3 linked regions of the Bombyx mori genome follow. The main gene of each other region encodes a partner of the protein of the gene in region 3 in a complex. Links are inferred from orthologs where the notes say so. Each region holds a gene or a part of one and is shown on either strand. Other genes may lie near its edges. The genes, in order: mitochondrial import inner membrane translocase subunit TIM50-C, small integral membrane protein 20 and mitochondrial import inner membrane translocase subunit Tim21.

Evidence for each region.
Region 1: mitochondrial import inner membrane translocase subunit Tim21 (region 3) and mitochondrial import inner membrane translocase subunit TIM50-C share a complex: the UniProt entries of both Homo sapiens proteins name them as parts of the TIM23 complex. The link is inferred for Bombyx mori from reciprocal best matches to the Homo sapiens genes TIMM21 and TIMM50.
Region 2: mitochondrial import inner membrane translocase subunit Tim21 (region 3) and small integral membrane protein 20 share a complex: the UniProt entries of both Homo sapiens proteins name them as parts of the MITRAC (mitochondrial translation regulation assembly intermediate of cytochrome c oxidase complex) complex. The link is inferred for Bombyx mori from reciprocal best matches to the Homo sapiens genes TIMM21 and SMIM20.

Annotation. Positions count from the first base shown.
Region 1 is NC_085127.1:1,725,359-1,729,670, reverse strand, and holds the start of mitochondrial import inner membrane translocase subunit TIM50-C, read right to left. Parts: upstream 2,963-4,312; 5' UTR 2,823-2,962; coding exon 2,684-2,822; intron 2,319-2,683; coding exon 2,141-2,318; intron 1,282-2,140; coding exon 1,110-1,281; intron 782-1,109; coding exon 648-781; intron 1-647. UniProt on the Homo sapiens protein: Essential component of the TIM23 complex, a complex that mediates the translocation of transit peptide-containing proteins across the mitochondrial inner membrane. Has some phosphatase activity in vitro; however such activity may not be relevant in vivo.
Region 2 is NC_085120.1:2,850,675-2,853,641, forward strand, and holds small integral membrane protein 20, read right to left. Parts: upstream 1,696-2,967; 5' UTR 1,515-1,695; coding exon 1,400-1,514; intron 1,314-1,399; coding exon 1,257-1,313; intron 758-1,256; coding exon 705-757; 3' UTR 613-704; downstream 1-612.
Region 3 is NC_085110.1:12,601,631-12,605,023, reverse strand, and holds mitochondrial import inner membrane translocase subunit Tim21, read left to right. Parts: upstream 1-1,177; 5' UTR 1,178-1,609; coding exon 1,610-1,957; intron 1,958-2,175; coding exon 2,176-2,358; intron 2,359-2,531; coding exon 2,532-2,678; 3' UTR 2,679-2,745; downstream 2,746-3,393. Other genes in the region: transmembrane protein 231, read right to left, coding at 3,062-3,321. UniProt on the Homo sapiens protein: Participates in the translocation of transit peptide-containing proteins across the mitochondrial inner membrane.

The sequences.
Region 1 (4,312 bases), on a different chromosome or scaffold from region 3:
GGACCCGGGGGTCTACCCGCGTACGAGCTAATTACATAATGAAACCGAACCATTCTTATTTCTACATCACCACGAAGCTCTACAAAGCTCAGTCAAAACCAACTTCATTGTGTATGAGTTTACTTGGAAACAAAATTAACTACGAATTAATCATAGATCATATAATTTGGTGACCATTCACCATAAGATGCACTTTAAACTCAACCTCCGTGGATCATAAAGTAACCTATTTGTGTGATTGGATCATCAACAATACTGCTGCCAAAAAAAGGCCATCATCGACCACAAAATACGAGGTCAACATCTCAATTGTCTGTCCTCAAACCGGACCGCGTGATTGCTTCGCTGTAAGAATAGGCAGCACAGTCGTAGCCGTGGTGGCAAATGTCGGTCAGTTGGCTCAGTGCGGCGCAGTAGTACTCAGAGAACGTTGCCGTCCATTCTCCTTGGAATCTTCACTTCTTTTGACACCCACGAGAACAGAGAGTGAGGTGCTGCTCTAGGCCAACACCAAAAGCAATGAATAATGTATTCTTTACCAAAATTAATGATTAAAGAATCATTTTAAATAAATTAAGACCCCCTTTAATTAATTCTTAAAGTATTGTTGTTGTCCATGCCATGTTCATGGCAGGGATAGTACTGACCTCCAGCCCGTTTGGTAAGACCAATCAGGATGCACCAGGACATCTGTGAATTCTAAGACTAGAGTGTATGTAGGCTGGTACGGTGGAGGCAAAGGGTCTGGAAGTAATTTCTCTCTTGATGGCTCCTTTATCATCTATAATAACAAAATATTCTGTTTCTATGAGTTTTACAATATCTCCAATCCCATATTCCTTAGAATGTAACAATATAAAATCTAAACCTCAACCATAGGCCAATAGTGGCCTCTTTGAATTCCAATTAAAACTGCATAATATGATCTGTGATAGGATATTAGGCAAATATTTTTGCACTAAAAACGTTTTTAGTGCAAAAGAATTTTATAATGTTCTGGTGTTATTTTAACTATCATCATTTTAATATTTGACTACCAATTGTTTCAAATTAAGTGCTCAAATTAAATGCATATATCAATAATGCATAAATAAAATTATTTTTATTACCTTTTCATAAAATGTGAGTTCTTTCCAGGAACGTCTCAGGTATTGAAAGACAATGGGAAGATGTGAAAATTCATCCTCTATTATTTGACCCTCATCATCCCGTCGGGGTGAGCCCATCTCTATGACAAGGCAGGTCGCTGCTACTGTGAGACCACCACCAAAAACTGCAAAACTAAACATTTAACATTATTTTTATTTTATTCTGTTTCACTTTAAATTCCAAAGTTGATTGGAAGCTTTGTTTTTATTTATGTATAGGAAATATATACAGAGGGGTAAAAGGTTATTTGGTCTAAGCGACATTATGCTTAATACGCGACCTTTATCTTTGTAATTAAAGGTACATTTTATTTGGTATTAGTATTAACAGTTCAATGTTTTTAATAGAACTTTAATTCAGTTTACTCTATTCAAATAGCTGAAGATATTTATTCATATTTTTTCCAAGTTTTAAGCTTTACATGGCTCTCCTGTAAAGTTACAAAAATGTTGCTTAAATCTAATAACATTTCCCCCCTCTATATGTACTGTTATTGATACTTACATACATACACAGGACAGACTAAGAGGTACATTTCTGAGTCAAAGAGCATGTTGCAAGTGCAAAAATAATCAGTCAATGGCATTGAAATAACTTTCATTGAGACTATGTTTAGTACCTATAGACTATATCGAGAAGCCATAGTTGATGCATATCTAGCTCCTCTTATTGTGAAGATGAAAATTAAAGTCAGTAAAATATCAGATCTCAAGATACCTTTCTATACTATTCTAATTTCTTTGTCCTAAAAAACATTAAATATTTTTATAAATAGTTAGACGGTAGGTATGTTTGTATGTATTAGTGAAATGTTAATAAATAACGCCTAATAATACACCACATAAATATAAAACACCCTTCATTTTTCGTTATATATCTGAAGAGCTGGTTGAAAATTAAGAAATAATAAAATAAGAGATAAACTGCATCTTATTCAAGTGGTTCAAATAAGTTTAGGAGCTTGTGAAGAATTTGGTGTTAACTACATTACCCTAATTTCATTCTTCTCCAACTTTTTTCATTTTCTTCAGTTTTCTCTTTGTTTTCTTGCTCAAAACGTTCTTGTTCTTTTTTAATCTGCTGTGCATCAACCTGTGTCTGTGGGGCTTGCGGGAAGAACCTCCCTAAGATATCTACTTTTTCAGGTTTATCATCTTTACTTCTATCATCTGTAAATTTGTATTAACAATAAGAAAGCATTTTATTTATCAAAGTTATATTATTACTTATTTATTTTCAAAGTACATATTATAAGGCAATGTAGAATTCTATTTGTTTTATAGGTGACAGAAGCTGAATAAATATAAAACGGATTTTGACAAACATGTAATGCTTTTGTAAATAGCTAAAAAAACATTTTCTACACTGATTTGACTTGTGTAGTATTGTCAACAAAGCTATGATGTTAGTGGGTTCAATTTAATAATGACGTAAAATTGTTCATCCAACATATTTGTTTATTGTAAATACATGAAAAAATCAATGTAATAAAAAGTCGTACTGAATTTATGAACTATGGGAAATGAAAACTAACCTAAATTTTGATTTGAATAAAATTTTGGCGAATTCGCTGCTATTATCCAAATGTTTTGTCTTGAGTGGCATTTTGTCTCTAGCTTTAAAGATTTACAACACGCGGTTTTTGTCAGAAATAATAATTTCCTGAAATACATTTCAATGTAATAAAAAAATCCGCATTGAGAAACTTCACTAACACACAACCGAGCAAATAAAACTAAACAGTAGATTAGTGTATAATCTATGCAGCAGATCACATCACACTACTCAAGGAGACTTTTTGGCGGGAACACGAGGAGTGAAGTTGTGTGATTTGTTTTATTTTGTCTATTTAGTGTTTCTTCGGGTTTAAATGTGTAATAATGGTGGTTTATTAACTGTTTAATATCTGTGAAAGTGCACAAATGTGGGAAAATGAAACAAAGCCGCTGGACGTAACTTCTCGGGATCCTCCAAAAAGTCCACTGAAAAAATCTTAGTAAATGACCACCATTTTACTGAGATTATATTTCATCTCATATCATCTCATTTATTTCATCCCAGTTGATTAATATCTCAAATTAATCATCTTCATTTCATTTCACACTATGATATCATTTTTCATAAAAATATGAATATACATTAAAATAAGACATGACTTAAAGATCTCAGTTACCAGGTCATCAAATCCCTTAAAAAAACATTACTCAAGGACTTTTTGGCGGGTACGCGAGGAGTGAAGTTGTGTGATTTGTTTTATTTTGTTTATTTAGTGTTTCTTCAGGTTTAAATGTGTAATAACGTTGGTTTATTAACTATTTTATATCTGTAAAAGTGCACAAATGTGGGAAAATGAAACGAAGCCGCTGGACGTAACTTCTCGGGATCCTCCCAAAAATTCCACTGAAAAAATCTCAGTAAATGACCACCATTTTGCTGAGATTATACTTCATCTCATGTCATTTCATTTCGTTTTCATTTCACTTCATGCTGTTTCAACTTCATTTCATTTCAAAATATCATTTTCATATAAAAAAGTTACGTATCATTAAAATTAAAATAAGACTTGGCCTAAAAGTCTTAGTTACCAGGTCATAAAATCCCTTAAAAAAAAAACATTACTCTAAGAGACTTTTTGGCGGGAACGCGAGGAGTGAAGTTGTGTGATTTGTTTTATTTTGTCTATTTAGTGTTTCTTGAGGTTTAAATGTGTAATAACGGTGGCTTATTAAGTGTTTAATATCTGTGAAAGTGCAGAAATGTGGGAAAATGAAACAAAGCCGCTGGACGTAGCTTCTCGAGATCCTCCAAAAAGTCCACTGAAAAAAAAAATGTGAGCCGTCACGGGACGCCTGGCAGATGTGAAACTTCGACATTATGTTGTAAAAGTAATATGCAGAAAAGAACAGATTGTGACAGGAACTAAATATGTCATAATGATAAAATAAAATGTTACGAAAAAATAATTTGTTTTCAAGTAAAACACAGGTTATGTGTACTGTAGTAAACAAAAAATGACACTGTATACACTACAGAGTATACACTATAGGTATCCGAGCTCAGTGTAGCGAGAGAGATGGCTTAACGCCGGATCGAGTGGGAGAGAATCGCACAGTCGATTGCGCATGGCGACGTGTCGCCACACCATACACACTACTGCATATAG
Region 2 (2,967 bases), on a different chromosome or scaffold from region 3:
CTAATAACAAATAAAACGGGCCTTTAATTACAAAGAAAAGCGTTGCGTATTAAGCATTTTAATGTATTAATGTTGCTTAAATTAAATATCCTTTCACCACTCGACATGGTTTCAAAAGGTACAACTAGAATGTAAGTAACGATGCATCCATAGACCAAATTAATATGAGGCAGCTTGCTTATATTTCCACAATATTTACTTACGGCGATATTGAACTATTCGTGTACGATATTCGCTTACAGTATAGTTTATGGAAAAAATCACATGTAAATATCTCGACGGATATGACAAAATTAAATATTTTTATATAAAAGTGCTCCACTGTTTTATAAGGCTTTAAAGTATTTGAAATTCGGCGAATATATCGCGCTATTTGCAATTTCGAAATTAAATATCTATACACTGTGTTATGTTTTATTACTTTTCTAAATATACACCAAATCGGATGATTAACATCTAGATAGATTCTTCCTCAATCTAGACAGATAGATGAGATCCATTGTACAATACAATTAAGATCTATGGGATCTAGATATCATCTGCCGAAGAAGCAGAATCTACAACATACTACAAGAATCGAAAGTACAAAAATAATAATGAAAAATCTTAAAAGATATATTAACTCAATTTTATTGTTTGAAAGCTTTTTATTTACAATACTAATTAATAAAGTCAATCTGACAACTACCTAAGGTGAATTTGTATCAATCATGCTCCGGTTTCTTTCGTTCGAATGGATCGGACCATACTTTCATATCTGTAAAGACAGAGTACATTTTCAATGTTTTTCATCTTCTGTTTTCTTTTTTAGATTGGATGAGCTCACAGCCCACCTGGTGTTAATTGGTTACCGGAGCCAATAGACATCTACAACATAAACGCTGCTACCCACCTCTGTCAACCATGTCAAATATAACTAACTATACCACTAAGTTTATCATTCACAACTTTGCAGTTACTGGTTTAGTTGTTTATATATGTGATTGGAGCTCACATGCACAATATATGCTTAAAAATCACTATAAGCTTATTCTTTTTTATAAAGTTAGTTACCACTTTAATTACTATACAATTGAGATAAACAACTAAGTCCCACAGTTAATTACAACGTCCATGTGTTATCTGAGGGTTCCGGTAAGCACTCACCACCAGTTGGGTCGTGAGCTCATTCATCCATCTATACAATAAATACAAAGTTTCTAATTATATTTCAACTCTATTACTAAAGTTTCCATGGCAATAGCTTTTAAACTTACTTCCAGGTTGGATGTCTTCTTGTCGTATGTTTTTTCTAGCTTCTTTTTGAATCTGTTCTGAAATTAAATTGAACAACAGCCAAGTTAAGAAACAAAGTAGTGAAAAATGAAGAAATCGTAATACCAGTAATTTATTATCTTACTGTATTCAGAGACATCGATCATCGGACTTATTGCTATCGGATAAAGAGTTAATCCTAATAAACCAATAAAACCGCCGATAAAAGCTGTGTAACGCCAACCACGAAATATAGCCATTTCAAAATTTTATTTTCATGAAATGTGTACAGACATTCAGAATTATGAGTTTTATCGATTTTGATAATTTGTATTTCGACTATAACCATATAACAAATAATATCCTGAACTTATATTATTGATAACCAGCTGATTTTCAAATGACATTTTTTTTTTTTATTATTGTCCACTAAGAGTAGTAAAAGAAATATTTCTCATACAGCCTAAGCTAAATTTTTTGGAGTGGGAGATAAATAATGTTACCTAAACCAAAAATTATTTTATTAGAATTATGTAAAATATTACAAATTTACTGGAACTTCAATTGATTTTTCTAAAGAACTGGGAAAGTATCCGCAACAATTCCACAACTTTCGGGTGATCAGTCCGATTGCCCGTGTCATTGATATTGATATGAGTTTCTGTATCATCCTCCACGTCGCTTATTTTTTTCTTTTGCGCTCTAGTAATTACTGTTAACAATACTGAGTTAATACATTTTAATTCGTCCGAGTTTGTTGGTAACCTAGACAATGCATCCGATACGCAGTTATCTTTTCCTTTAATTTAAGTGATATTAAAATTGTATTGTTCTAATGTTAATCTATGTTTTAGCAATCTACTTGACGGATTTTTATTCCAAACAAATATATTACATAACGGTTTATGGTCAGTTATAATTGTGATTTTTTTACCAAAAAGATATGGCCTAAAGTACTTTATTCCCCACAATTGTATGCATTTCGACAAATACCAAACAACCATTAAGAAAATACTAGTTTACTGAAATAAGGTCTAAAACGCCTCGCTATTTTCCTTACAGTAGTCTAAGACATACCTAGACTTCTTTATCGTACGCATTAACTTCAATTTAGTGTAGGAAAGAGATCAAAATATATTTAGGGTGTAATAATACATATAACAAAATGTCCGCTGTGAACGTATCAAATACCACGCTACAATAACACGCTCTGATCAATAAATAGTACCTCAGGATGTCGCAAATTTACCAGAGACCAGTCCAGATACATCCTATTTCCTATGAATAGCTGTGTTTAAGAGGCTTGTATAGTCCAGTCATTAAAAGGGGTTGATCTCGGAAAATCGACCTACCCAGTATATTACCACATGAAAACCTGTATTTTGGCATCCTAAAACTATTCTACAAATTCACATATAATTGGATAGCCGCAAGTTTTAAAATCAGGGATCAAGGGTACAAAGTCGATTTTTTTCACATTTTTTGCAAATATATCGTTTTCTATGGGTTTTACGCTGTTTGTATTTATTGTTAATATTGTAGAGAATTAAATTCTCCACAACTTTTCTATTTGACATTTTTTTAAACTCTGTAATCAGAATATGAACATTAGAATTATTTTGTAATATTGTAATGGTAGCACCTAAGTTCAAAGTTGCTAATTTTAAGTTTGGCGCTTGGCAACTCTCTCTTCCGTTTCAGCCATATAGGCCT
Region 3 (3,393 bases):
ATAGGTTATAGTTTCCGGTGCATCGTACAATACATTGAAAAATAATAAAAGTAGTAGAGTAATTGAAATTATGACAAAGTAATTACAGTACATTAATAAATTATGCAACCAGCTGTAACAATAAACCTAAAACTAAAAACCTTACAAAATAATAATTACAATAATAATTGCCATAATCGGCAATCTATTTTTATATAGCGCTTTTAAAAAATTGTATTTTTAATACCTTTTTTGAAAAATATTGTGTAATTAATAATAACTTAATACGTGATTCGCTACAATACAAACAGCTACTAGACTTAACATGTCCGCGGAACTAAACAGCTTCAAACAGCTACTAGACTTAATATGTCCGCGGAACTAAACAGCTACAAACTACAAACAGCTACTAGACTTAACATGTTCGTGGAACTAAACAGTTCCGCGAACATGTTTACTGGAACTAGTTCCGACACTCAAAAGAACGATGTCATGTTCAATCCAGTTCCGAACATGATTAGCGCACGTCTACAACGGACTAAGACAAAAAACTTAATTGCAATGTTCAAGTTCAAACCAGTGATCTAAAATGATTTTAATCATAGATTATACACTTCTCTGATTGAAATAAAAACAGATTTTGACATTTACAGCGGTTTTTTTTAAGGAATTTTTGGACCTGGTAACTAAGATCTTTAAGTCATGTCTTATTATTATTAAAATTCTTATTTTATGAAAAATGATAATATGGAGTGAAATGAAATGAAATGAAGATTAATTTGAAACATTAATCAACTGGGATTAAATTAAATGAAATGAGATGATATGGGATGATATATAATCTCAGTAAAATGGTGGTCATTTACTGTGACTTTTTCAATGGACTTTTTGGAAGATTCCCACATTTATGCACTTTCACAGATACTAAACAGCTATTAAGTACACATTGAAACCTGAAGAAACACTAAATAGACAAAATAAAACAAATCACACAACTTCACTCTTCGCGTTCCCGCCAAAAAGTCTATTAATATTATAAATTAGTTACCTACTACATATAGAGTGGCTAATCGAAGAGTTTTCTCTATGTTATTGGATATATCCATTTATAAATAGAGAATGGTTTTACTTTTTTAAATTGATGCTTCTTCAGATTTTAACGAGCAACATTAGTGGCTTATAGGCTTTGTAGTATCGGTGAAAAAGCACAAATATAGAAAAATTAAATCGATTTGCTTAACATAGCTTTTTCCGAAAAGTCCAATGACGTTTCTACCGTTCAGTAAAATACTGAGTATTTTATTTTATCTCATCTGAACTCCTTTAAATTCTATTTCATTTCTTTTAAAATTTTTACTTAAGTAGTGTAATATTTTATATTTTTTATTGTTTTTAACATTTTCTTTTTCGTGTAATAAAAGTGGCTGTTTCGCTAAGTTTCATTTGCCTGACTAATTAACAAATAAGATAGTTTGATTGATAGCAATGATAGCTACGTAAACTTCAAAATTAAGTAAATAACTAAGGTTATTTTTATCAACTTTATAGGAAATTTTTGACGATGAAATAACAATAAGGAGGTTGAGTTTTTTTTAACCATTCTGTTAAATAGCACACTTAAAAGTGAACGATGACTTTAATATCTAAATTTTTACCGCTTTTACGGAACGGTAGCACCACTGAAAAGATTCCTGCCATATTACAAACTAAATTTAGAACTAATACCCGTTACTTCTCTTCTGAAAAAGAAAGTGGTTTGACTAAATCCAAAAGCAAAGAAAGTGCTTCCCATGTATCTACAGATGTAAGACCCTTAGGAGAAAAAATCAAAGAAACTACAAAAACTGTTTCTTACACCGGCGTAATACTTCTCGGTGTCGGAGTCACAGGTGTGATTTTCTTTTACGTTTTTCGAGAACTGTTCTCAAGTAACAGTCCGAACAGCATTTACTCAGAAGCTCTTGAGAAGTGCAAACAGGTAAATTACCTTGTGTGAAAGAAATCTTGTTTACATTATGATAAATTTACAGATTATTTAATAAACAAGGTCAAATTTTTCTATATCATTAATCATTAGCATTGCATAATGCAGAATGCAGTACAGTAGTCAGTATTAAAGTAAGTAATGAACAGGGGAAACAAACACTATTTAAAGTATTGTTTACCAAGTATTTATTAAATTATTGTCGATTGCAGGATCCTAGAGTAGAAGATGCTCTTGGTGCACCAATAAAAGGTTATGGAGAAGAAACAACTAGGAGAAGACGTACCCATGTCAGTCATGCAGTATATGAAAAAGATGGAGTGAAACATATGAGAATGAGATTCTATATTAAAGGGATAAGAAATAAAGGTGTTGTTGAACTTGATATGAAACAAGTAAGTTCTGTTTAAATAGAAATGTGTTTAACAACTTAAAAGTTCAAATAACACCATACATCTGAATAATTTGTATACACCTCATCAATTTCTTATAATCTCTGTTTAAAATTTTCTATTTTAATAAATTCATTTAAAATCTTTCCAATTCACCAGTACACTTGTTTTTTCAGAATGATTATGGAAACTATATGTGCAGATATTTGCTGGTACAACTTGATGACTACAGTGGAAAAACATTTATAATTGAGGACAACCGAGCTGAATTAGATAATACCAAACCTGATATCGCATTTCCAACCTTAACTCTCACTCAGTGATATAAAATTAACTATGTAACATGTAAATAGTAAAGTAGATATCGAATAAATGATTAGCAAAATAAAATTGTTTCGTTTCATATTATTATGTAAAGTTTTAGTTTAAAAAATAATAAATATAGTGAGCACTTTCATATTGAAATCTTTTAAATATATAGAATACTATACCTTCTTCTGACACCATAAGAATAGTTTTGGAATATGAATCTTATTAATTAAATTCTTTGAGCCAATGAAACTTAATGCTTATAATATCATTTTATTGCAAACATTAAAACATGTTTATCCTTATTAATAATTAAAGTGAATTTTACAGTGAAGACTAGAAATTGGCACAAATCAATTATTTCGCAGTACAATTTTATAGATCTTACATAAGTTCGTCATTCAAATGTTTTCCAAGATTGTACTTTCCATGACATGAGAAGTCGATTGGTAAATATAAATTCCTTAACTTTATTGAAGAACCAATGGAATATCACTACAAAAGAGAGATATTGAGGCCAAGCCCACTTAAACTCTTCTAGTATACTAGGAGTGTATCTTATTTGCATCTCTGGAATTCTTAGATGAACTTGAACAGTCATAGAATCTGTCTGGCCATTGTAGGTTCTAGAATTTATCGTTCTGACTTCTGTGGTAACTGAAAATAGTTTATTTTTTGGTTATGAATGTAGTTGAATAAATATGCTGTAGGTTTACTTATATCAGTGGT